Danio rerio: one gene and its partners. The protein of the gene in region 2 purifies or fractionates together with the protein of the main gene of each other region. This does not show direct contact. Links are inferred from orthologs where the notes say so. Each region holds a gene or a part of one and is shown on either strand. Other genes may lie near its edges. The genes, in order: cops4, cul4b, trpc4apb, brwd3, dcaf8, cop1 and glmna.

Evidence for each region.
Region 1: the proteins of cul4b (region 2) and cops4 purify together in Homo sapiens (affinity purification with mass spectrometry; 9 studies listed by BioGRID and IntAct, with this or other methods). This does not show direct contact. The link is inferred for Danio rerio from reciprocal best matches to the Homo sapiens genes CUL4B and COPS4.
Region 3: the proteins of cul4b (region 2) and trpc4apb purify together in Homo sapiens (affinity purification with mass spectrometry; 4 studies listed by BioGRID and IntAct, counting the BioPlex papers as one, with this or other methods). This does not show direct contact. The link is inferred for Danio rerio from reciprocal best matches to the Homo sapiens genes CUL4B and TRPC4AP.
Region 4: the proteins of cul4b (region 2) and brwd3 purify together in Homo sapiens (affinity purification with mass spectrometry; 3 studies listed by BioGRID and IntAct, with this or other methods). This does not show direct contact. The link is inferred for Danio rerio from reciprocal best matches to the Homo sapiens genes CUL4B and BRWD3.
Region 5: the proteins of cul4b (region 2) and dcaf8 purify together in Homo sapiens (affinity purification with western blotting; 7 studies listed by BioGRID and IntAct, counting the BioPlex papers as one, with this or other methods). This does not show direct contact. The link is inferred for Danio rerio from reciprocal best matches to the Homo sapiens genes CUL4B and DCAF8.
Region 6: the proteins of cul4b (region 2) and cop1 purify together in Homo sapiens (affinity purification with western blotting; 4 studies listed by BioGRID and IntAct, with this or other methods). This does not show direct contact. The link is inferred for Danio rerio from reciprocal best matches to the Homo sapiens genes CUL4B and COP1.
Region 7: the proteins of cul4b (region 2) and glmna purify together in Homo sapiens (affinity purification with mass spectrometry; 3 studies listed by BioGRID and IntAct, counting the BioPlex papers as one, with this or other methods). This does not show direct contact. The link is inferred for Danio rerio from reciprocal best matches to the Homo sapiens genes CUL4B and GLMN.

The regions. Positions count from the first base shown.
Region 1 is NC_133185.1:12,012,889-12,017,174, forward strand, and holds the start of cops4 (COP9 signalosome complex subunit 4), read left to right. Parts: upstream 1-1,486; 5' UTR 1,487-1,554; coding exon 1,555-1,628; exon of another isoform or gene 1,629-3,605; intron 3,606-3,848; exon of another isoform or gene 3,849-3,878; coding exon 3,879-3,958; intron 3,959-4,286. UniProt on the Homo sapiens protein: Component of the COP9 signalosome complex (CSN), a complex involved in various cellular and developmental processes.
Region 2 is NC_133189.1:38,063,572-38,067,868, forward strand, and holds the start of cul4b (cullin-4B), read left to right. Parts: upstream 1-1,497; 5' UTR 1,498-1,937; coding exon 1,938-2,400; intron 2,401-4,297.
Region 3 is NC_133198.1:21,678,178-21,682,458, reverse strand, and holds the start of trpc4apb (transient receptor potential cation channel, subfamily C, member 4 associated protein b), read left to right. Parts: upstream 1-1,481; 5' UTR 1,482-1,496; coding exon 1,497-1,619; intron 1,620-3,422; exon of another isoform or gene 3,423-4,281. UniProt on the Homo sapiens protein: Substrate-recognition component of a DCX (DDB1-CUL4-X-box) E3 ubiquitin-protein ligase complex required for cell cycle control.
Region 4 is NC_133180.1:23,679,229-23,682,728, reverse strand, and holds part of brwd3 (bromodomain and WD repeat-containing protein 3), read right to left. Parts: intron 1,583-3,500; coding exon 1,454-1,582; intron 1,367-1,453; coding exon 1,141-1,366; intron 1-1,140. UniProt on the Homo sapiens protein: Plays a role in the regulation of cell morphology and cytoskeletal organization. Required in the control of cell shape.
Region 5 is NC_133177.1:41,035,514-41,039,013, forward strand, and holds part of dcaf8 (DDB1- and CUL4-associated factor 8), read left to right. Parts: intron 1-294; coding exon 295-435; intron 436-771; coding exon 772-866; intron 867-2,742; coding exon 2,743-2,853; intron 2,854-3,471; coding exon 3,472-3,500. UniProt on the Homo sapiens protein: May function as a substrate receptor for CUL4-DDB1 E3 ubiquitin-protein ligase complex.
Region 6 is NC_133177.1:38,101,960-38,105,459, forward strand, and holds part of cop1 (E3 ubiquitin-protein ligase COP1), read left to right. Parts: intron 1-1,905; coding exon 1,906-1,987; intron 1,988-2,089; coding exon 2,090-2,206; intron 2,207-2,286; coding exon 2,287-2,404; intron 2,405-3,173; coding exon 3,174-3,298; intron 3,299-3,500. UniProt on the Homo sapiens protein: E3 ubiquitin-protein ligase that mediates ubiquitination and subsequent proteasomal degradation of target proteins.
Region 7 is NC_133177.1:11,252,415-11,255,914, forward strand, and holds part of glmna (glomulin, FKBP associated protein a), read left to right. Parts: intron 1-1,599; coding exon 1,600-1,849; intron 1,850-3,500.

The DNA of each region.
Region 1 (4,286 bases), on a different chromosome or scaffold from region 2:
CCAGCCAAGGCTCGAACCAGCAACCTACTTGCTGTAAGGCTATTGTGCTGTCAACTGTGCCCCCGTGACACCTTTATATTATATTATATTATATTATATTATATTATATTATATTATATTATATTATATTATATTATATTATATTATATTATATTATATTATATTATATTACATATGTGTGGCTATAGTGTATGAGTGTGAACGAGTGTGTTTAGATATTTGCCAGAACTGGGTTGCAGCTGACAGGGCATCAGCTGTGTAAAACATATGCTTGGTAAGTTGGCAGTTCATTCCGCTGTGGCAACTCCTGATGAATGAAGGGACTAAGCCGAAAAAAAATTAATGAATTAATTAATTATATTATAGAGTTACTGCAGGGAAGAGTGAAGGAGGCAGATCTTTATTGATCCTTACTATATATAAAATCTCATCAGGAGGCTGTTGAGCTCAGAGTAATAATAAAATATCTGAAACTAAAAACACGAAGATGTCTGAGAAAGATTTCTTAGAGGTTCAGTTACTAAAGGTTCAGTTTTTATGTTGTCTTTAGAATATTAACTAGGTGTAATTTATTTTATCAATTATTAATTCATCATTATTCAATTAATATTACTACTAATATTATGTCTAAACCCCCCAATGGGTGTGTTGCACCTATTTGTATTGATGAATTTTAGACATTTACAATTAAAATTAATTAAATAAAATTTTGACAAACAAATTGATATAATAAATTAATTTATGTTCACATTTATGTTCACATTAATAATAATAATAAATAAAATGTTGCACACACACACACACACACACACACACACACACACACACACACACACACACATTTGATGCACAAGATTTGATTAACAAGAATTATTTATTAAAATCCCCAGTTAAATTGTATTTTATTAACACCTACCCCATTCCTAAACTCAAGCATCAAAGTGATGGTAAAACACCACGTATTACCCATATTATTCATTAAATTACCCATTAAACTGTATTTTATTAACGTCTACCCCTATCTAACCCTAAACCCAACCAATAAAGTTATGTGAAACAGTAATTATACCAAGTATTACTCATAATATTTATTAAATTACCAATTAAATTGTATTTTATTAATGTCAACACCTACCTAACCCTAAATACAAACATCAAAGTAATGTAAAAACAATAATTATATCAAGCATTATTCATAATATTTATCAAATTACCCATTGAACTGTATTTTATTAATGCCTATCCCCCCTAACCCTAAACTCAATCAATAAAGTTATGTAAAACAGTAATTATACCATTATAATGTAAAAAACTGTCATTATACCAATTATTACTCATAATATTTATTAAATTACCCATTGAATTGTATTTTATTAATGCCCATCTCACAGTTATGTAAAATATTAATTAGTGTCACAAAAATGATGCTATCCGCAGCTGTATCCCACATAGACTTTACCGCCCTCTAGTGTGTTGTTCAGTTGTCGTCGGTTCTCTGTGTTGTGTGGCGCCCTCTGCTGGCCCGCAGGTTTCGCTGTTTAAGTGCGGAGGAAAATGGCGTCCGGCGTGAGGCAGGAGCTCGCACAGCTGATGAACTCTAGTGGCTCTCATAAAGATCTAGCTGGGAAGTATGTGGTTTCAAGTCATTTGCTAATATCGTTACTGTATGTCTTTTGCATTTGGGTGTTATTGTGTGATTTTCTATATAAAGGTCTGTGATACTGCAAATGATATGACTACAGGCTAACATTAGCAAGCGTGTGTAATACTGAGGATCTACCTGTCAACATGCCTACATCAATAACAATCATACAAGTTATAAATAGTAAAAGCTATTAGAATCATTAGCATATTTGTATGCAAATGTCTTTGTGAATTGACTAATATAATTTGAAAACGATAGGAGGAGTACGTTAATGCAAATACAGTTAGCCTACAGAATTTAAGACCCCATTAAATCAAATCGTTTGGTTCAGTAATTTTGGTTTGAGATATTGTATATCCAAACGTAGACCTAAAAGTTGACAATATAGTTGTCATTTGACAATGACATTTGAAAAAAAACCGTTTGTTTTTTAAAACCAAAATACTGATGACTCATCTTGCATTTAGGGGCGTGTCTACGTTTTTGTCCAATCAAATTTTATAGGATGAACAAGCCTTACCCTCAGCATTATTAAAATGTGTGTCTGAATATGTAGACTTTTATATTAGGCGAAAAGAAAAAGTTGAATAGACAGTAATAGTTCATTGTATTTAAAAAAAAACAGTAGGGGAGAGCAGGAATAAAAGAAACGTGGGACAAAAGTAACAAAGTGATTTTCTCGAAGCCCTGAAAACATTTGATTTACAGGCTATAACAACACATTTAGCAGCATGCAACCCTTAATGAAACTGCTAAATATACAATTTTGGGGCCGTGTCCTGCAATGAGCTCTAAATTTCTGTTTGAAAGTGCAAAATGTAAATTATTGTAGTGGTTTGTTGTATTTCTCTTTTCATGCATCACCGTAATGATCAATCTGCAGGTTCTTTAGTGCAATAACAATTCCTTGATTTTGAAATGTCTGAGTTTTGCAGTTTAAAAGGTAAATTAGGTTTACTGTAGGGATGAAAGTAACACTGTTATTTATGTCCCTCTGCACTTTTTCACTTCCATATTAGTTTTCAGTGTTTTGACTCTTGACTGTTTTATAAGATTAATGCAGATTGCCAATAATAATAATAAAATATTCAAAAATTTTAAGAAAATATAACATTTTGCATTGTTTGATTGCTTTTGAAACATTTTATGGAAGTAAAATTAAAAATTAAGGTGCAGTTTAATATTTTTTTTGCAAAAATAAAGGACAAAATATGCCTGCAGTTAACATTAACAAGGTCAAAGTCAGATACAGTGGTGGAATGAGTACTGAAAAATCAAAAGTACATATTTTTTAAATTACTTGGTAAATTACAATTTCTGAGAAAAGTTACTCACAGTAATTTGAGTATTGGTGATTTGTTACTTTACACCACTGGTCAGATATATTTAAAATAAACACGATTAAGCCGGTAAATCTAGCAAATATTGTTGTGTTACTTTTGACTCACCTGTGAGTTTTTTTTCGTTCCTGTCAAAAGTAGCTGTGCAACTTTTGTGTAAAGTGACGTTATATTGGTGTTGTTCTACATTATACAAAATAACACCTGATTTTGATTGATCACTCTTATGAGTTGGTAACCTCAGCAAAATATATATTTCCGCTAAAAACATTATCTTTTTAGAGTTAGGTTTATATGCAAAATGTTACTTTCATCCCCGCTGTCCCCTATGCAAAAAGGACCAGAATAACATGCTTTGTATGCTGAGATTCTGAGGTGTGTGTCGAATCAAAACTTTTCTGTCTCACTAGGCCACAGGAGAGGATTTGTGAATAGTAGTGGAGCGACACAAGTCACACAGCCCATATGAAATTGATCATGACTATATTATAGTAAAAGTGTATTAAGCATTTTTTTGGTACACTGATGATTAGCATTTGTATAAACAAGACTTAACCACAAATAAACACCAGGAATAGATTTAAATTGGTGTCAAAATCCATAGTTGATTTGTGGTTACTGTGGTTTGCTTAAATAATGATGATTTACATATATTCTGAAGATGAAGTTCAAGTTTAGGTCATATGACCGTGGCAACATTGTGAATGGGGATGTAGAACTGTTGATTGACAGCCACTAAGAATTCACCTTAACAAGCATTTAAAGCTGCATTTGATATATTTATCACTTTATACAGTACAATATAAATCCAGTCATCATTATCATCCAGTAATGTCAACACAAGTATAGTATAATTTTTGTAGCTATAATCTTTGTCCTCCCTGTTTTCACAGATATCGTCAAATATTAGAAAAGGCTCTACAGTTTACTGATGCAGAACAACTTGAAGCACTGAAAGCATTTGTTGAAGCGAGTAAGTATACTAGTATTCAAGTACTAATATTCTGATTATAAACATTCACTTGCCTCTTTACTAATTACACCTTGCTGTTACTGGTTAGACCCATTTTGATTTCAGAACTGCTCGTTCTCATGGCTTAGAATAGTTTTAGCAAGGATCTCATATTATTTCTCAGAATTTTTGGTCCATATTTACAGGACTGTATCACACAGATGATGCTGACTTGCTGCCTGCATGTTCATTATGTAAATCTCTGTTGAGATTTGAAGGTTTTGTTTAATTTACAATAAATGGACTGAAATGCTGAAAACGGAGATGTGGCTATCAACAATCGATCTCT
Region 2 (4,297 bases):
TATGTTTTACACAGCAAATGCCTTTCCAGCTGCAACCCAGTAACACCCATACACTCTCACATACACTCATACACTACAGCTGATTTAGTTTATTCGATTCACCTATAGAGCATGTCTTTGGACTGTGGGGGAAACCAGAGCAAGAGGAAACCCATGCAAACAAGGGGAGAACATGCAAACTCCTCACAGAAATGCAGCCGGGACTCGAACCAGTGGCCTTCTTGCTCTGAGACGACAGTGCCAACCTCTGAGCCACCATGCAGCCTTAAGCAACTAATAAGCAGCATATTATGTAAAGTATAAAAACTAAATTAAGACTTTTTTAATTATAAAAAATAATATTAATGATAAGGCAACAAGGTCTTACTTTTAGATTTTTCACTTGTTTGATATCTTTTGACAAACTGGGGAGAAATTGACATTTGTGGACACCATTTAATACAAATAAAACTTTGTTATAAACAAGGTCATAACATTCATTCTTTTCGGTTTAGTCCCTTTATTAATCTGGGGTCTCCACTGCAGAATGAACCGCCAACTTATCCAGCATATTTTTTATGCAGCGGATGCCCTTCCAGCTACAACGCATCACTGAGAAACACTCATACACACACATGCACTACGGACAATTTAGCTTACCCAACTCACCTGCGCATGTCTTTGGTCTGTGGTGGAAACTGGAGCACCCGAGGAAACCCACGCAAACACTGGGAGAACATGGAATATTTAGTATTAGTATCTCAAAACTTTGGGGGGATTTTGAGTCTGGTTTGGCTACAACTTCTTCTGTTTCAGCTAATAGAATGATTTTTAATAGCAAATCCTATTTCGACATATTTTGGGGAAATGCTTAGAAAATGTTCAAAAAGTCAGCAATACACATTGGGCAAATTTACTCCCCTTTTGTTTTGTTTGTTTTTGCCTCATTGACTTCCATTATAATGCCATGTTTTGATTGCAAACCCATGACTCAAAATACTCATGTATTCTAGATGGTTGGTAGTTTTCCTTTTAGGAAGATGTTTTTTTTAATTGTTGATCATCAGTTGCAGTGCAAAAAAAGCTTCTTCCCACTAAAAATAAAAAAATGCAGCTCAGCTCTCAGAACATAGTAACCAGTAAGTGTATTTATGCACACTATGCTGTTTTACTCCAAGGAACTTCTTTTAAAAGCCAGAAACTTTTTGCAAAGGCCTATCTATGCTGCCACTTGGCGATGAACAGTAAATATTTCACATTTTACCTCTTCCCAACGGGGAAAGCCACCAACAATCAACAATGCATACGTTATCATCGCTTAGCAATAAAAATGTCATTTTAATCAAAGTAAATAGGACAAAAAAAGCTTCAAATATAATGAAAGGGTGGTAATTTGAACAGTGCACAGGGGTTCCAGCGTTTAGTCTGGTCTAGACTGCTCGTGGTGCTTTGGCGTCCTCTGGTGGCGCATCGGAGCAGTTAGGCCTTGCGCTTATCCAACGTGCCTCAACAGCAGCTGCGCAGAGCAACGGTCGAAAGTACTTCCGGCGGGTCAGCGTCGCCTCTTAGAAAAGTTACTATTTCCCCGCGGACTTGGACAAAAAACCTAAAATACCAACCAGTCTCGTGAGCGGACAGACGGCGTCCGGCAGAATGCTTTAACGCAAACAGCCCTCGGCGAAAAGCAGCTTGTAATCCAACGGACTTTGTGCCGCGCGCCGGAGTGTGCTCGAGCGAGAGGAAGCAGTATTCAACCATCTTTCCTCTGCTGGCAATAACAAGAACAGAGAAGGGTCCAAGTGGGGCTGCACTTCTCAATTTATCTTTTTTTTCCTCCTTATCCATACACGGAGCCGAGAGCTTGCACTTCCCCCGACCGAGACCGAGGAATAGAAAGCGTCCGCACCCGGGATCGTAGCATTAGTAGATTAGCGATTTGATTTAGTATTTCTTTTTTCATGTTTCCAACAGGTTTACCTTCCCCTAATCCCCCACCGCCAGCCCAAGAGCCCAGACCGGCAGCTTCTGATGTTCACAACGACAGTAGCTTAACGTCTTCTAAGAAGAGGAAAATCAACAGTTCAGACAAGGAAGACATTGATTCAATATCATCGTCTCCTAAAGCCATCTGCAATTCCTCCTCCACAACGTCCTGCTCTTCCAGTTCACAACAACAGCAGCAACAACAGCACATCCAGAAGAAGTTGAGGTTCGAGGACCCGCTGGATTTGATCGGACTGGATGTGAAGATGGCCGAGGAGTCCTGTAACCCATCCGAATCCTGTTCAAAGGCGAGAAATGTGTTTCTGCCCGGCGGTGTTGGGCATCATGCTAACGGACTGACCAAGTCTGCGGGCTCCGCTACCTTCTCCAACAGTAAACCCGGTGCTGCGAAGAAACTTGTTATCAAGAACTTTAAAGGTAGGCGATAAATCTGTAATAATATAAGGGAAATATATTGGGCTGTCTTTTAAAACTTAGTTAGCTGCATGTCTAGACTGCGTTTATGGCCAAACGCAGTTGTGAAGTCCATAAATGAGTGGTGAAGCCACGGCCTCATGTAAAGGTAAACAACTGCAAAACCTCTTTATAAAAGGAAATGTAATGACACTGTCACAAATGATAGCAAAGATCTTTCTATCTAAACATAATTATTATAGACTTTAACTAGCTTTTATGAAGATAAGCCACTTTTGCTAACAAAATCTCACTGCTTGAGTATTTGTTTATGGATATTACCCGTTCATTTTCATTTCATTGTATGTATAATTTCAAAGAGATTTATAAAGTACTGGTAAAACTATACAATGTGATCTAATTTGGTAACATTTTATTAATTCAACTAAAAATAAAAGCATCAGTGCATTTATTAATCATAGTTGATGTTTATAAAAATGCTCATAATGCAATAACTAATGCTAACAAAGTTTTGCTAATTTTTGATGGAGAAACTAGATGGAATTAAAATTTAGCATAATAATAAATGTTGCAATATTTCTGGTTCTACAAATATAACCGGTTCATGCTAACATATTTTAAATTAATTGTAATAATGTCAACAAATGAAACATTGTACATTGTTACTAAAATGTTTTGTGCTTTTAGAGTGTATGGTGCTGTTTGTCACTATTCCGAGGCTCATTCTCTGACAGAGTTTTTTTTTTTTACGAGCAAAGCATATTTTATTTTAAGTATTTTGTATCAAATGTTAGGTGCATCTTTTATCTCAGTAGCCATAAGTTTGAAACTTAATTATAATTATGTTCCTTATAATTGAGCATTATTGGGATAATTACTAGTTCGCATGTATGTATAGTGCTCAGCATAATTGAGTACATGTGAGAAATATTATCTATTTTCATCCAGTGAATATGGGTAATAAACATTGGTGCATTTGAACAAAACAGATTTATTAAACGGATATATTTATTAAATTATTTTTTTTAGTCAAAGAACATCTTTAGAAATGGAAAGACAATACAATTAAATTCATTCAAAGTATTGCAAAAAAAAAAAATGACAAACTACAACATTTCAACAAAGTTGTTCAAAATATTATATGTTGTTTAATATTTTTCCCTAACATATCAATTTGGGCTACTAATTTTTAAACCTTTATTGTAAGTTATTTTGTTGGATTTGCTCCAGATTTGGAATCAGTACTGACTAAACTAATGTTTATGCACAAATATAATATTGTAAAGCATCCTACAGGACATATTAATTTAAATGAGAGATTTGTGAAGGGTGTACTCATATGCTGAGCACTGTACTTTTAAATATTAACACAATGTCGAACATAACGCTAAAAAACAAATAGTTTAATAGTGCAACAACTGAAATCGGATTTACTTCACTTGAATCTAATTCTAAATATAAATAATTGCACATTAAATACGTTTTTTTTTTTTTTCAAAATGAGAATCCTTTGTCTTCTGGGGGCCTGTGATAAGTGTTATAAATCTCTGATAAGTGTTTATATTAGGACTATTTTGGATCTGTGGGGCAAGTCCCTGCTGCAGTGCATGCATAATTTGTCATATCTCTGAACAGAGAGAAGCAGCAGTTTTATTAATTTAAGGGCCACGAAAGTCCTCTCTCTCAGCAGGTTGTTTTCACACCACGAGTTTGAAAAAAGCCAGGAAAGTGGGTGGGTCCAGATGTGTTTAGGTGGGAGTGTTGAGTGCCAAAAGAGGGAAGGGTTTGCATAAAAAGGAGAGTTTCGCTACATGCACACACTAATTTTCACAGCGGCAACACAAACGCAGGGGAGATAGACAGTGATTCGGAGAGCAACATTTACAGCAGATCTGAGAGC
Region 3 (4,281 bases), on a different chromosome or scaffold from region 2:
TAGGTTAAACATAAAACATTTGTGGTCATATAAACAGCTATAAAAGCTGAACTCTTAAAAATGAATCTCTATTAAGAAAAGCCTAAAAGCCCCTTAAATTCCCAAAGATGGCAGCTCTCACTGCATTTCACCTTTTTATTTTACACAAAAACAGATCAAATAAAGGCAAAACTCACCAAGTGTGACCTAAATCCAGCAGATGCCAAGAGTGTATTGACTCTTTGAATGTGTTTTCAGGTTTGCAGCTTCCCTCCTCCCTTTTCAGCTCCAGTAAATTGAAGTATTTTGTGGACTTGATTCAGAACCACCCATTTCCTCGACTCAGGGCTGGTTTTTGTCGTCCTCCACTGTGTGTGTTCAGGAAAGGCATGAGCGCAGACACACGTCTCTCTTTCCTCGCCGTGCTTTATCATCGGAGAGGGTGTGTGTTGAGTCTGTATCGTCTCTTTGATCTCCTCTGATGATGCGATTGTATGTTTGGCCTCCATTCATCATCGCCCAAGAGATGAAGTCATGGTCATTTAACAGGCCCCAAAATGGGGGAAACTACAGGAACCTCCATGATTATTTGTCTGGTGTGTGCAGTAAATGCTGGTGGATCAGGAAAAAAACTATTATTTCTATATATTATCTATATATCTATGCTGTTTGCATAACAAGAGCATGCGCGTACTGTAAATTACAGTACAATATTTTCATCACTGACAATGGAAATATTTGTAATTGCATTTTTAAAAATTCTTTATTTTAAATTAAGTTACTTAATTATAGAAGTTATTTTATACAATATATACAAGTAGTATGTAGGCCTACATATAAATATTATCAACATAAATCATAAACATATTATACATATATCATTTTTAATATGGCAGCATGAAGGCTCAGTGGTAAGCACTGTCGCCTCACAGCAAGAAGGTCGCTGGTTCAAGCCTCAGCTGAACCAGTTGGCATTTCTGTGTGGAGTTTGGATGTTCTCCCCGTGTTGGTGTGGGTTTCCTCCGTGTGCTCCTTACATGTGCTATAGGTGAACTGGGTAAACAAAATTGGCCCTACTGTTTTTGTGTGGAAATAAGTGTTTATGGGTATTTCCCAATGCTGGGTACTGGGAAACACTAAGTATATGGATGCTCTTAGTATTCCCAATGCTTAGAGCATCCGCTGTGTAAAACATATGCTGATTAAAACTTATGCTGGAATAGTTGACGGTTCATTCCGCTGTGGCGACCTCTGATATAGAGACTAAGCTGAACAGAATAATATAATCGATCATACAAAAATAATAGTGTAGGACCTTCCAAAAGAGAAACAAATAAACAATTCTAAAATGTTTGAACATCATATTTGGTTTCCCAATAAAGCCTGTTATTTGTAGAGCTCCAGATATTCCGCAGGTTGTAGTTTTCTTCCAGTCCAGCAGGAAGCAGCAGCAGCTCCATCTCTCCCCCGCTGGTTTCGTGGAAACTTCTCAACGTCACGACGTCAGAGGAACAGCAATGGCGACAAGAGGCCCTGGGTTTTCTCGCACCCAAACAAGACGAGGAAAACCATGCAAAAACATCTTTCATAAAATTCGACAAGGCCAAGTCACCGGCGAGGGGTTAACTAGAGGATCACAGGTGAGATTATAAATGACATAAATGTCTAAATCGGCTCCAAAGCGTTTCTTTGACACTGTTTACATTTGAGGGCCCGAACAGCACTCCATTTAAAACACCTCTTAATCTGAAATACAGAACATTTCATCGAGTTCAAAGCGAATTATGATGTGTAACGGTAACGTTAGATGACTAATATGGTGTGGTTAGATTTAACTTTTTAATATGTGAAATTATCTTCCTGCTACTCAAAATATGTTGTTGACTGATTCTGGAGACAATTTAGGTAAACTTGGTTTAACTGTTACGCACATTCGTTCAGTGATAACTGTGACATGCTCCCTATATTGTATACCATGGTACTTTGAATAATGGATCTGAAATCACATACAAGTAACGTTATGTCTTCAAAGCAGCATTAACACTAACGTTATTTATTTGACTGTAAACAGTGTTTTACTTTGATATTCCCTGGCTGCTAAAATGATTTCACTATTAAAAATTTGTAAAGAATACTTTTCTGAAATTAAATTACTGAGAAAGTCTGAATGTGCGAATATAAAATAAATTTTACCTTAGTCTTTAGTCATGAAACAAAACGGGTCCAGTAACTGTAACTGCTATTACGGTAGCTTTAGAAGTATTTTACATTTAAATGTTATCAGTATTAATATAGACATTATATTTAACACAGCTATTCCAATGAATCATGTTCATCATCATATGAACTTGCACTCACAGGCCACTTCATTAGGTACACCTTACTAGTAACAGGTTGGACCCACTTTTGCCTTCAGAACTGCCTTAATGCTTCCTGGCATAGACTCAACAAGGTACTGGAAATATTCTTCAGAGATTTTAGTTCATATTGACATGATGGCATCACGCAGTTGCTGCAGAGTTTTCGGCTGCACATTTATGAGACGAATCTTCCCTTCCACCACATCTCAAAAGGGCTCTATTGGATTGAGATCTGGTGACTGTGGAAGCCATTTGAGTACAGTGAACTCATTGCCATGTTCAAGAAACCAGTCTGAGTTGCGCTTTGACATGCGCCCACAGAACGTCCGCTCACTGGATATTTTCGCTTTTTTGGACCATTCTCTGCAAACCCTAGAGATGGTTATGTGTGAAAATCCCAGTATATAAGCAGTTTCTGAAATACTCACACTAGCCTGTCTGGCACTTACAACCACGCCACGTTCAGAGTCACTTAAATCACCCTTCTTCCCCCATTGTGATGCTAGATTTAAACTGCAGCAGATCGTCTTGACTATGTCTATCTACATGCCTAAATGCATTGAGTTGCTGCCATGTGATTGGCTGATTAGAAATTTGTATTAACGAGCAGCTGGGCAGGTGTACCTAATAAAGTGGCCGGTGAGTGTATATCTCTTATTGTCGTTTTAATACATCTAAATCAGTGCATCTACACACAATAAAGGGTCCAGTCATTCAAATGCATAAAATTGATAATGTTATTTTTTAAATTCAATTCAATTTATCTCTATTTTTATAACGCTTTTACAATGTATATTGTGTCAAAGCAGCTTAACATAGAAGATTAGAGTAAATTGAAACAGTGTCAGTCCAGTTTTTAGAGTTGAAGTTTAGTTTAGTTCAGTGGGGTTTAATTTTAACTGCTTATAGTTCAAAAATGGAAGAGCAAATCCATCGATGGGCAGCTCCACAAGTTACGAACCATGCAAGCCAGTGGCGAGGAACAAACTTCACCAATTGATGAAAGTGAAAGAAAAAAACCTAGAGAGAATCCAGGCTCAGTTGGGCACAACCATTTCTCTTATGGCCAAACTTCTTGTGCAGAGCTGCAGTCTAAGCAACGGAGGCTGGAGAAAGCTGGACGTCCATCACGGAGAAGCTGCAGGTTTCTGGCTGATGTACAGCCTGGCCCTTCAGGATCAATGCAAGGATTCGTCTGTCACTGGGGTCTTACAGGAATCAGTCTCACGCTCTCCACTCCTCCATAACCACCACAGCAGCTGCTCAGGATACAGCCTGGTCCAATATTATGGAAACCAGAATAATAAAAACAGACTAACTAACAATTCTTTAGAGGATTTGGATTTGAAAAGCATTTGTGTTTTATGTGTATGCTAATGCAAAGAGATGTGTCTTTAATCTGGTTTTAAACTGACAGAGTGTGTCTGCTTCCCGAACTGTGCTAGGAAGGCTGTTCCAGAGTTTAAGTGACAGATATGAGAAAGATCTACCACCTACAGTTGAATTTAATATTCTGGGAATAATCAATTGTCCAGAATTAATTGAGCATCCTCCTGGATGTTAGGGGGTTGTAATACACCAGAAGCTCCCTCATATACGGGGGAGCTAAGCTGTTCAGGGCTTTGTAGGTAGTAAATTTTTTTAAATTATACAATATTTAATAGGGAGCCAAGCAGTGATGAAATAGAAAGAACAATGGTTTAACAAAAGTAATATTTAATGATGTCTCATATCAAGCTAAATCTGTTTTTCAAAGATAGCTGTATGTTTTAAAAGCTTTCAAATGTGTATCTTCTTTTTATGCCAGCATTTTCAGGCATTTATTAAGTGGTAATAAGTCAATCAAAATGAGGGGCAGATGTAACCCAGCCCAACTCTGCATAGTACATTATTGTCAGATATTTTCATGTATGTTTTATATATTTTTATAATATTTTAAATA
Region 4 (3,500 bases), on a different chromosome or scaffold from region 2:
GTATCGTCAGCAGTGTTAAGTTTTTAAAGACATACCTTAGTCAAATGATTTACAGTAATATCACTACAATATCATGGACTAAAAGTCCTCCACTTCCACACAGCTCTCAGATCGCCTGTAAATGCTGCTCTCTGAATTACTGTCTATCTCTCCTGCGTCTGCGTTTGTGTTGCCAGCGTAAAAATCAGCTGTTGTGCTCATACTGAAACACGACTTTTCATGCATATCCTTCCCTCTTTCACCACTCGACGCTCCCACCTAAACAAAGCTGGACTCACCCACATTTCTGACCTTTTTCAAACTAGAGGTGTAAAAACAGGGCTGGGGGGTTTCATGGCCCTTTAAAATAAATTTTTTTTCATCAGTATGTATAATGTAGTAAAATGATGCATGTTATAATTAGTTTATTTTGCAAAGATCAAACTAAAAGTTTTTGGATAAGTAGAAGGTAGTAGGTTTACTTGGAATGCTGTGACTTTCAGATTGAATGCACTGAGAAAATAAAAAATAAAATGTATTATTTATTCTTATATTAACGGTTTACATTTACTTAAAAAGGATAGTTCAACCAAAAATGCAAAGTCTGTCATTGTTTACTCACCCACCCAAATTCTTACCTCTTTTGAACACAAAATAAGCTGGCAACCTGTAACCATTGACTTGAGTATTTGATTGTCCTATTATGGATTTCAGTAGTTACACATTTTTAACGTTCTTCAAAATATCTTCTTTTGTGTTCAACAGCAGAAAAAAACTCAAGATTTGCAACTATGCAATTTTGGGTGAACTATCCCTTTAAGACACAAACAACTAAATTTATTAGGATAAACAATATGTATCGTTCAATACAAGATAACATGTGAATATATCTTGAACAAAGCAGAAGTTTACAAACATTACAATATAACTTTTAGTTTAACTTACTGATTTTTAAAAGCTGTCAATTGTTTTTCATAATCTACAATCTGACTCATTGTTTGCATTGGGTTCAGTTTTATTGTGCCCGTGTGTACAAGATATTTAAATATGAAAAAGAAGATAATAATAATAATAATAAAACCTAACATACAAAACATAAACTAAAAATGCAGGGAGGCTTTCCATTATTTGATTTTATTCATGTACACCTGATAATTTTACCATTAGCCATGTATCCCAGCTGGGGCACGAGCTGCTCCTCTTTGCAGTTTTCTCTGCCCGGCACCAGGCGCTGGCATCGAGGAGGGTGGGGGTTTCCATCCACGTCCACCAGGAAAGGCGGAGGCATAAGATGTGGTGCCTGCTGCGTCTGCTCATCTAGAACAAAGTTATTAGAGTCCCGGATCAATGGCCGGAAATCTGTGTGGAAGAACATTTGGTCTGGAATCTGAAAGCAGAGCAAAGCGTTGAAATGTGAACATGTGTGGTTTAAATCAACTGCACTTAATGCCACACATCTGAGACACACACTCACCATTTCATAAGGCTGACTGCACCCAAAGCCGAAGATGAGCAGATGACCATGCGAGTCTGTGCAGGCGAAGTGCTGCCCGTCCACTGAAAACTTACAATCAAACACAGCACCATGACCCTGACCCTCAATCTGGCAGAGGAAAAAGAAAAGGGAAATAAATGCAGTGCTGAGATTAACAGCCAGACTGTAGCATAAATGACTGAGCAATAATATGGGCTTTGAAATAATTTTTCTTGTTCTTCAAAAATGTCTGCATTTATTTTTTATTTGCTTAAAAATATATAATTAAAAGCCATGTGAAATCCTATAATAATTGAAATAGTTTTCTGGGTTAATATTTCATTATTATAATTATAATATAATTAATTTTAGTTGCAGAATTTTAAAAATCTATTTTTTCAGTGTTTAGTTTTGCATGACTTTTCAAAAAAATATTCTAGTATGCCATTTTAATGATCAAAAAATAAATAAATAAAGATTTTAAATGTTGTAGAAAACTGTCCTGTGGGCTGTTCCATAAGCCATGCTTGGAGAAAAAGCCAGGCTTAATTTGGAAGTCGGGTTTATTAATGGCTGATTCGGTTTCATAAATCAAATGTTCAAACTCAGTTACTCTGGCAACTTATGCTGGGAAACTAGCCTGGTCCAGAGCAGGTTAACTCTCAGGCTAAGTCTTAAGTTTAAGCTTAATCAAATTCATGTTAACATTCACCTGCCATAATTTGATGCCATTTTAATTAACTTAACCTCTTAAAAATGATTAACATTTTATAGTCACTTAATAGTAAATATATATTGCAACACCTCCTCTCCTTGAATTGGTATCACTCTTGAGGGGGTTCTACAGAAATAGAGACACTGCTCGCTGCAGAGCCATTTGAGCAGAGCGGAGCTCCAGCGAGGGGGAGCATGAACTCTCGCTCCTCCTCCTATAAGCGATTTTAATGCGTACACCAACCCCACCCCTAACCCTACCCCCAGTGACATCACTCGTAGAAGAAGTGCAAAAAAGGAGGAGTGAGAGCTCAAGCTCCCCCTCGCTGGAGCTCAGCTCTGCCCAAATGGCTCTGCAGTGAGCACCACTTGCAGAAATATGGCTGACTGAATAAACACTCTCTCGAAACAAATTATAGCAAGCGTAAACTCTCTTTTTATTTTACCAACATATTTTAGAAAAGAACAATAATATATTTAAATTCAAACAAGTTATTTCAAACTAAACAAATAGGAACTACAACATTTTAACAAAATGTCTATATTGTTTTAGTTTATGCTGATTCCCCTCTACAGACTACATTTCTTACAGAAATCAAAAAAGCATCAAACCCTGAGTGGAATAATCAGGAGATGGATCTGGGCTGAGCAGTAGCCTCACTTTAGTATAAAGATACTTTCCCACGAGGCCCAGGAAATACACATGTCAAAGGGAAAGCAGCAATTTGCAGCGGTTTCGGGAGCAAATTAAAAATCCTGCCGCTTGTGCGTGCACGGCTCTTTGTTGCCATTATTTTAAACTTAATGTCCTTACATTAAACATATTTTGTATGTGACAGTATGCAATGCATTAAAACTTTTTCTTGCAAGCGACAAATGGCAGAAAGCGCGTATCCTTTCTTGCGCATACAAGCACAATTTCAACGTACTGTGACAAATATATAATTCAACAATAATAGGCCTAAATAATGGCCTATATTTTAAAATATATTGGTATATATGTAGCCTATAGAGGCCATCTGAAATTTCCTGTCAGCCTTCTCTCTTGCTTTAAATAAATTATTAGTTGTTTAAAGTCTAAAAACAAATGCAGCTCACTCACTGTGAACACAGCGGTCTTATTTCAGCACTCGTTCAGTTCTCGTAGTTGCCATGGTGGCACACAACATTATAGATGCATTTACGCTCGACCTTTAAGGTTTCACGACTAGTCTATTCTTATCTAAGATTAGTTAGATCAAATGATATTCAACTTGTTATGGAACCAATTTAGGCGTGGACGTTTAGTCTGGCTCATTGAAGTCAGGTTTCTTTACTTTTCTAAACGACTTTT
Region 5 (3,500 bases), on a different chromosome or scaffold from region 2:
CTTTCAGTCTCTGCTAATGAGCCGGTGACCTGAATCAGGTATGTTTGGTTAAGGAAACAGGGAAAATGTGCTTAGCTGGTGTTTCTCCAGGAACTTGGTTGAGAAACACTGCTTTAGGGTATTTTAAAAGAGTTTAGAATCTTTGCATTATTAAAAATTGTATAGATCTATCTATCTAACCTGGCTGTACATTTCGATCCAGTTTAAATTGCTGTTGTGTTTTTGTTTGACAGAAACCACTTTTTTTTTTTAAATGTAGAAACTTCCCTCTTTTATTTATTATTCTGTCCCCAGGCAAAGTTCCTTCCACACAGCGGTGACTCCACATTGGCCATGTGTGCCCGAGATGGACAGATCAGAGTGGCAGAACTGTCTGCCACACAACGATGCAAGAACACCAAAAGAGTGGCTCAGCATAAAGGTGCAGCTCATAAGGTATGAGTTTTGTTGAATTGTTTGACAGAAATACAATACAATACAATCTGAATTCAAAGATTAAGACCTAACAGTTATTATGATGTGTGGATTTGCATTAAATAATACTTAAACCATGGTTACCCTAAACCAATCAGCTTTGAAATCTGTAACTGCTTGGAGCTGTGCAGTTGCATATGTTTGATTAATCAACAGTGTGCAACATCTTTTAAAGAATCAGAAGAATAATTCTGTAACTAAAGCGATTGTTTTATTGGGTTTATGGCGAGATGTAAAAAGAGATTGCAATCAAAAAATCACATGTGAATGCTTGTGACTTTTGTTTTATTTTCTTAGCTTGCACTGGAGCCAGACTCTCCCTGCTCTTTCCTCTCTGCTGGTGAAGATGCAGTAGTGTTCGGCATTGACCTGCGTTTAGACAGACCTGCCAAGTGAGTGCAAAGTCATGTCACAAACAGCCCTAAAATTGCCAGAGGAAAAGAAATGAAGCACTTCAGCCAAGCGACAGGAGCAGGATTAGATATCCTACAAAGAATTGTGTCAGCAGCTAGATGAGTCAGTGGAAGCTTCTGTCTCATGCTATTATATGGTTTACTTGACAGTGGTCCATCTCAACACTGCTAATGCTTTTGGGAAATGCCTCTTGTTAATTATTTTGCTTTCTGTTGGTATGCTATTAAAGAGCCCCTATTTTGCATTATAAAAGGTCGTTTTGGTTTTGGGGTCTCTAACAACAGGCTGATATGCATGCAATGTCAAAAAAACACTTTAATTTTCTTATAATATGCATTTAGTTTTACCTAATTATCTCAACGACTCCTATATGATTCGTTCAGCAATTTCATTTGTTCTCCTTAGCACAATGTTAATCGTGCTGATTGAACCAATGACACAGTCTGTCATGATTTGTTGACTGTGTTCAGCGCAAGATGGAGAGTAATGCCCACCATGGCTATGAAGTAGCACACAGAGTATATGAAAGCCCAATGCAGAAATGCAATAAAGCAATGCAGTTAAACACCAACATATTAGTCTATTAGTCGTTTAGATTGGTAAGAAGCATGGTAAATTGGAAGGAGCATGAGTCACGTTTTCAACATGGTTTTGGATGCAGTATGTAAATAGCCCCATGAAGTTTTAACCTAAGAGGTACAATATAAGCATAGATCTATAATAGATAAGTGATTACAAGCTGCTCGGGGTGACACACAATTTAATACATATTTTGTAGGCTGTCCCATACATAATAGTCTCTGCTGCTCCTTCCTCTAATAGCAAACCGCCAATGAAACCCGTGTTGCAGTGTAGGTTATTGTATCAAAAATACTGTACTGCGGTGGTGTTGTGAGAATAAACTATTACCACCTATTCCCCGCAGCCGAATCTCCATCTGTCAGTGATCGTCATCTTAGCATCATGATCAGTCCCCGCACTCTGCTAGTGTCTAATGGGAAAGTTGCGTTCACGTTTTACCATTTCGCCACTTCTTATTTGGTGATGTACCGTATCGATGTTGTTGCGTTCAAGCAAAAGCTCCGAACCCAATACGATTTATTCAATTGACTCTGAGTCGACTATTTCGTAAAAGAATCAATCATTTTCAACACGGTGCAGTTTCAGATATAAACCTGAAAGTGCTCATTTACTTGTTACACACTGCATAGAAGATCATTTTCAAAAACCCATAATTGAGGCTTTTTAAAAAAAACTCTGCATTTGTTAAATTAACAACGTGCTATATTTCAAATGTTTAAGGCTTGAAAGATTTTTAAAAAAAAAACATAATCAGTTAATGTGTATTTAACAATAATATTAAAGTGGTGTAAAACAGGACTATGTTTTTTCTTCAGTTTTTCAACATTGATCAAAAAATGTAAAGTTTCATGAGCACTTTTCCAATTTATTACATTATGAAGTTTCAAATGACGCAGAAGACTGAAGTAAATGCTATATTTCCATCACAGGAGTTAATTACATTTGAAAAAATGTATATTTTCTTTCTTTTTTCTCCACAAAAGTAATAATTTTAAACATTATAGTTGGAAAATAATGATATTTTAAGTAAACATAAAATGTTTTATGACATTTTAATTACTCCCAGAACTAATTTTTTTATCCTAAAATATATATTTTATGCTCCAGCAACATTATGGAATTTTCTGCAGCAGAAATGCAGTATTATGTCGGGGATAATTTTAGTGAAAGAAATGGCTGTGATTCATAGGATACATAACATGCTTTTGTTCTATATTAAGTATACACTCTAGCTTACTGACCTACCATTTTCCCATTTATTTTTATTCTCAGCAAACTGGTAGTGGTGAAGGAGGGTGAAAAGAAGGTGGGACTATACACCATTTATGTGAACCCAGCCAACACACATCACTTTGCTGTGGGTGGCAGAGATCAGTATGTCAGGTGAGATGAACAGTCGTGGTGGTGTCTTGTTTTATGGGATTTAAAACATGACCTAATATACAGTGCCATTTTATTTCTCTGTCTTCAACATTTCAAGGTGAAAGCTGTCAAGCATACCTGATCCTGTTGGGCTGGGCTGATAAACAAAATCATATTGAATGGCCATACAATTTATGTTGATAATGATGATAAGCTCTGGACATTTTTACTTGATCGTAATCATCACCAATGATCAGCCAATCACACTGCATATACATCCAACAACAGGAATCTAGAATTGTGTTGATATTAGAGATTCACTGAATTTTTGGTTGCCGAAAATAGGTCATGCTGTGTCTCCCAGTATTGGTTAGTACACTCGTTTTATTTTTCTGTCTGCAGTATTCGCCTTCAGTCATGGTTGGGATACTCTTTTAAAAGGGGAAGCATTAACAACTTATATTGAAATATATATTTAATCATTCAATACAGAAAAATAATTATCGAGATTATATTTTTGCCATATCGCCCAGCCCTATGATCCTATTATTTCTCCACTGTTAAGCTGCCAGAAGACAAAAAGGGCAGCTGTTCTGCATCGCTCACTGATTCTGTCTCTTCCTGTTTCATATGTGATAGGATCTATGACCAGAGAAAGATAAACGAAC
Region 6 (3,500 bases), on a different chromosome or scaffold from region 2:
AATTTACCAACATTACTGAGGCAAATCATTTTAATAGTCATAGACAAAAATATTTAAACAAAATATCCCATCTCTTTATAGTAAAATAAACATACGTTTTTTTACTCGTAAGCTTGGTAGATAAAATGGTACACAGTGTGTGTAAAATTGTGAAGTTGAATGACTACATTACCACTATGCAAAAATTTTTCAGATGGGGTGCTAGTAGCTGGGATGAACAAGAAAAGAAACCAAAAGGCCTCTCCGGCGAAAATGACAATGGTGTTCGGTCAACAGTCATTGATAGCGATTTTAACGCCCAGCCAAATTCTGAATATTTTTCTCTATAATTTTCACAGAGTATCTACAGAGTCTTTAAAAGACAAATTTCAAGATCAAAATTTTAGGTCTTAAAGTAATTTACTGAAATATTGTGTTGTAGGTCTTAAATCTTTTTAAACCAGGTATTAATTTTCCTTTGTCCATTTATAGCTACCCAATCACCAATAACCAATGTCAATTAAACTTTAAACTTTATTTCAAAAGGTTACTTTTAACTCTATTCACCGTTTAGGTTTCTTACAATAACAATTGTTTACAAGTGCGTTAAAAGGACAGATTGTTGTGCATAGATGTAGTTTATTATATATTTTTTAACTTTTAACTTTTACATTTTTATGCTATATTGATCTAAGAGCCCATGATACAGCAGAAATGTGTAAACATGAGATTCTAAAAGTGTGTGTTAATATTAGAGATGTACCAAATTTTTGGCTGAAAATGTTATGCCATTTAATGGACCTTCTAATTTTTGTGGCTTCAGTGATTGTAGGGGTTCTCTTTTAAATCTGGAAACATTGACAACTTGCATCAAATCTATATGATTATTGTTCAATATGGAAAATAATTATCGAGTTTGCATTTTTGTCATATCGCCCAGACCTAGTTTAAAGGGTATTAGAATAACCAAAACAACCTTTCAGATATTTTACAATGCAAAGACTTTTTTAATGCGCAAACTGAATTTGTTTGGTAAAAGTGTTTTTTCCATCATAGTTTACGCACATCTTTTCTTTTCGGATAAAAAGTTTCTCTTACTTTGTTATGCACGTACGCATTTCCAAAATTGATGCGCATCTTGGCATTTCCATCAACAGTTTTTTATGTACATTTCCAATTGTCTTCAAGTCTTACAACTGACTTAATGAAATGTGCAGAAGCCATGCTTTTAGAGGACAGCTGATGTAATTATGTGGTTTAAATTACATGCATACAAAATTAAATAATTGTTTGTTTCCCATTCAAATATTATAGATCTGTCAAATATTTTAAATGTTATAAACAGTTTTGTTGCTTAATATTGCATGGATACAGTCAGTCCTTTTTAACAGATAAAAATAACATGCATATAATAGCTTTAAAATAATTATTAGATGTATAAATACAGGCTGTTTTGTACATCGTGTACAGAAAAAAGACAGGTTTATTGTGTTTTTGTTTTAATTAATTGGAGTGATTATTGAGGAGTATATTTTGTGTTTGTCTGTCATATATTTTTACCATTATTTACAGAGGATAAAATTATAATTCAATGAAATAATAGTTTATATGCCATCTTCCCTCTCAGCCATATTTAAAACAGAAATTACTTTATCAAAAAGACTCTATTTAGGGGTCATAATTAGCCCCAAAGTAGTAATTACATGTAATTGAAAAATGTAATGCTCTGTCAATCCATGTTTTACTAATTTTTCTGCAGGTGGTTTTTAATCAATTAAAATATAATAATAGCATTTAGTATGATCCCTAAGTCAGAATATAAGAACAGGTCAGAATAATGCCTCGTCTTTGACACATAATATAATTTGCGAAACATTTATACTTAATCTATGTTAGACTCTGATTTGCTGGTTGGATTTTTCATAGGAGCATGAAAAGCGGTGTTGGAGTGTCGATTTCAACCTTATGGATCCCAAGCTCTTAGCGTCGGGATCAGATGACGCAAAAGGTATTCCCGCAACCGAACCGTTCCTATCAAGTTATTTGATTTATAGTTCTTACGAAGATATTCTTTTATAAATACTCATGAATGCAACTCGCTTCTCCCCAGTCAAGTTATGGTCCACCAACCTGGACAATTCAGTAGCCAGCATTGAAGCCAAGGCCAATGTATGCTGTGTTAAGTTCAGTCCAACCTCTCGATATCATCTTGCCTTCGGTTGTGCAGGTACATAATTCATTTTAATCTATTAAAAGTTTGGCTTCCTGCAGAAGTCTTTTTAAAACTTTGTTTTAAATCTTTTACAGACCACTGTGTGCACTACTATGACCTGAGGAACACTAAGCAGCCCATCATGGTTTTCAAAGGCCACAGGAAAGCAGTATCCTATGCCAAGTTTGTCAATGGAGAAGAAATTGTCTCTGCGTATGTATACACTCAAAGTCCTTGTGTTTTTTTTTTTTTTCCTTTATCAGTAGAAATAATTTGAGGACAAAAGTCAGTGGAAGAAGTTAAGGGTAGATCTGTCTCTATTTTTTGTTGTACTATATATATTGCAGCAAGATATATTGCTTTTTAAGACCATTTTATGCCACTCGTTATATAATAAGAGTATAATAGCATCACAATGCTATTATACTCTTCCGAAAAACACATAATATTTTATTCTTAAGAATATTTTAACAATTTAAAAATTGGGTATTGTAATCAATATAGGAAAACGCATATCCAAAATTATAATGTTAGCTAATAGTGCAAGGTAAAAAGTAACACAGGCTAAAATATCTATATATATATAATATTATATATAATATAATATAGTCTAGTACCAGATCTATTTTCAGTTGTCAAACATCCACAAGAAAATACACTAATTTATAGTAAATACTATAGTGTTTTTTTTTTACCATAATGACACTGCCAGCTTCAGTAGAGATGTTGCACAATCAGCTAAAATTTTGCTAGAATTGGTTTTTATGTATGGGCTATAGTGCTTCACCAAAAATGTAGAAAATAAAATAAAATAAATTAAAATAAATAAAAAAATAAAATAAAAAAATATAAAGATATATTTAATGTGAGTGATCATTCATGGCTTATAAGTATTGTGTTGAAAGTATAATTACAAACTAAATTTTAGAGTCTTGATTTTAAACTGAGATCAGAGTTAAATTGTGATACACTGTGTTCACAGCTCAACAGACAGCCAGCTGAAACTCTGGAACGTGAACAAGCCTCATTGTTTACGCTCTTTCAAAGGCCACATCAATGAGAAGAACTTTGTGGGTTTGGCATCAAATGGAGACTATGTAGCATGTGGTGAGTGGCATGATATGACATTAATTAAACAACAGAAAGGTTTGCTTTTGGCATTTTGGTTTATAATCAAAGCTATGATAATGCGATATATAAAGTCAAGGCTGGAATTATTCAAACCCCTGGCAAATTCTCACAAAGTTTTTGTTCAAATGTTTATAAAAGCCACAATAATGCATCTTGTACACAGTCTTATTATCTTTTA
Region 7 (3,500 bases), on a different chromosome or scaffold from region 2:
ACAACACATACATTTTAGAAAGGTTTTTATTTTAAATTAGCAATCAACAGGACCCAAAATATAGCCTACAAAGCATAGATAACGATTTACCATGCGGGAAAAGTCATGCATTTAAAAGATAATTACACATCCCGTCCCTGCACTATATAAAACAATTCATATCAATTTGTAAAATAAACTTTACAGTGTTAATACATCACCTGATGTCAATCAGCTGCTGCAACATTGCTTGCATATTGTTGATAATTTTTGCCTCCGTTTCATTTGGTTTATTCGATGCCCTCATTATATCTGGCAAAGAGGAAATTGCATTCATTTTAATGTTTATTAGGAGTTTTCAAATAAAAAGCCAACGGTAAATGATGTATATAAATAATATATAACATTTACACCTCTATTTGTTATATAAGATTTGGTTTCTAGAACGTTAACATTTTATAACAGCAAGTTCAGTAGATTAACTCAATAACATGTCAAAACTCAAAATGTCAGAGACGTCCTTTAAATCAATTTTATATAACATTACAGGAGATCAATGTAGGTGTCGGCTAACATTAGTTTTGTCTTCCTAATTATTATTTCAGACTCGTAAAGAGAATTACTGCTAGATAGCCATCACCTGTATTTTCCCCGTCATGGCTAACGTTGGGCGTGTATCAGCAAACTAATAAAGCCAGATAAAGCCCTGACCTTACCGAAAAAACAGTGTTCCACCAGATCCTGTAGGTCAGAAAGTATAGTTTACTGCTGAGCCCATTTTATTATGGTAAAATAACACAGAAATTGAAAATTAACCTTTCAATCTCCTGCCGAAGCTCTGACGGTCAGCTTTGAGAAGCTGTCAATCAGAACTGTCAATCACGATGACACGCCCAGCATTAAATTACTGCTAAAAACATACTGTTTACAAAAATGAAGATCTGCACCTATTTCAGCATGATGACCAGTGCCCCTATTGACCAAAACCATCTTTCGGGACATTTTATTGCAAGTGTAATAATTTTTTTTTATTTGGGCTCAAGTCTCGTTCATTAACACGGAGGAGGCATGCTTTATGACTTATACTGCAGCCAGCTCCCAGGGGACGATTTAATGGCTGAAACCTTCATTCAAAAGCAGGCGTGTGGCACACATCCATTCATTCATACTCATACACTACAGACAATTTAGCCTACCCAATTCACCTATACAGCATGTCTTTGGACTTGTGGGGAAATTGGAGCACCGGAGGATTCCCACGCGAACACAAGGAGAACATGCAAACTCCACACAGAAACGCCAACTGACCCAGCCGAGGCTCGAACCAGTGGCTTTCTTGCTGTGAGGTGACAGCACTACCTACTGCACCACTGCGTCACCCTTCTGTTAAACATCATTTTGGAAATATTTGGAAAAAAAGTGAAAAATCACAGGAGGGCTATAAATGTTGACTTCAACTGTATATATATATATATTGCACACTCCAAAATCATATAGATCTTGCATTGCCTGGTGGTAAAAAAATAATTAGGTTGTATTTATAAACATCCTACATGACACTTTTTGCATTTTGAATGGATCCTAAACTTAATGTGTACTTTTTTTGTCCTATCGTTTCAGTGCTGCTGCGTCTGGGCATTAGGAAGGCCTCGTCTGTGGGTATGGCTCTCTCCACACTGCTCTCGCAGGTCTCCAGGCTGCCAGTGCCTGTCACAGCAGAGCAGGAGGAGGACGATGTTTTCGGCTTGTGCCGCTGCTGCTCTGCTCTTCTACAGTTTGTGAAGCCCTTTGTTGAGGAGATCAAGGAGGTTGTCAAGGATAACAACAGTATATCCAAAGACAACGAGCTCAGAGTGGAACTGCTTAAGTTGTAGGTACCCATTCATAATGTCCAGAATCATGTAGATCAGTGTTTCTCAGCCACGTTCCTGGAGGACCAACAGCACTGCATGTTTTGGATGTCTCCTTTGTCTGTCACACCCATTACAGGTCTTTCAGTCTCTGCTAATGAGCTGATGATCTGAATCAGGTGTGATTGTTTAAAGAGACATGGAGTATTTGCAGAGCTGGTGGTCCTCCAGGAATGTGGTTGAGAAACACTGATGTAGACTATATTTTTGGACTTTGTTAAAAGAGTAGTTTACCCAGAAAGGAAAATTTACCTATTCTCCTTTTGTTACCAAACTATTTTAGTTTTTGTTTAAGTTTTTTATTCTGTTTAACACAAAGGAAGATATAGTGAAAAATGTTGAGTGCCATTGACTTCATTGTGTTTTTTGCATTTACTCTGGATGTCAACAGTTGTTTTTTTTTCTTTTTCTCAACATTTTTTTGAATATCTTTCTTTGCGTTCATCAGAAGAAGAAAAACCATAAGAGTTTAAAACCACCTAAGTGTGAGTAAATGAAAATGATTTCTTTTTTGGGTGAACTATCCCTTTAAGGATAAGTCATCATAAAACAACACCCAATCTTGTCTTAGAACAATTTTTGTAAACTTTTTTGATCCGCTTCAAAGTTTGACTAATGTACTGGCATCATATAAGTTACTAGTATTGGTCTGTCTTGGCTTAACAGTGTATACTCTTTCCTTTATTTTTATATATAAATGACCTTTGCTGGCCTTTTACTCAGACTGTGTTTAGACTTACAATCACACTTTATTAGGTAAACCTTACTAGTACGGGGTTGGACTACCTTTTGACTTCAGAACTGCCTTAAACTTAGTGGCATAGATTCAACAAGGTACTGGAAATATTCCTCAGAGATTTGGTCCATATTGACATGATAGCATCACGCAGATTTGTCGGGTGCACATCCATGATGCCAATCTCCCGTTCCACCACATCCCTGTCCTGTTCAAGAAACCAGTCTGAGATGATTCGCACTTTATGACAAGGTGCGTTATTCTGCTGGAAGTAGCCATCAGAAGATAGGTACACTGTGTTCATAAAGTAATGGACATGGTCAGCAGCAACACTCAGGTAGGCTGTGGCATTGACACAATGCTCAATTGGTACTAATGGGCCCAAAGTGTGGCAAGAAAATGTCCCCCCCCACCATTACTAAACCACCACCAGCCTGAACTGTTGAGACAAGGCAGGATGGATCCATCCTTTCATCCTGTTAATGCCAATTTCTGACCCTACCATCTGAATGTTGCAGCATCTTCTATTGTTCAATTTTAGTGCGCCTGTGCGAATTGTAGCCTCAGTTTTCTGTTCTAGCTTACAGGAGTGGCACCCGGTGTGGTCTTCTGCTGCTGTAGCCCATCCGCCTCAAGGTTCTACATGTTGTTCGTTCAGAGATGCTCTTCTGCATACCTCGGTTGTAACGAGTGGTTATTTGGGTTACTGTTGTCTTTCTATCAGCTGGAACTAGTCTAGCCATTCTCCTCTGACCTCTGGCATCAACAAGGCATTTGTGCCCACAGAACTGCCGCTCACTGGTTTTTTTTTTTTGGGGGGGGATTTTCTCGTATTTCGACCATTCTGTGTAAACCCTAGAGATGTTGAAAATCTC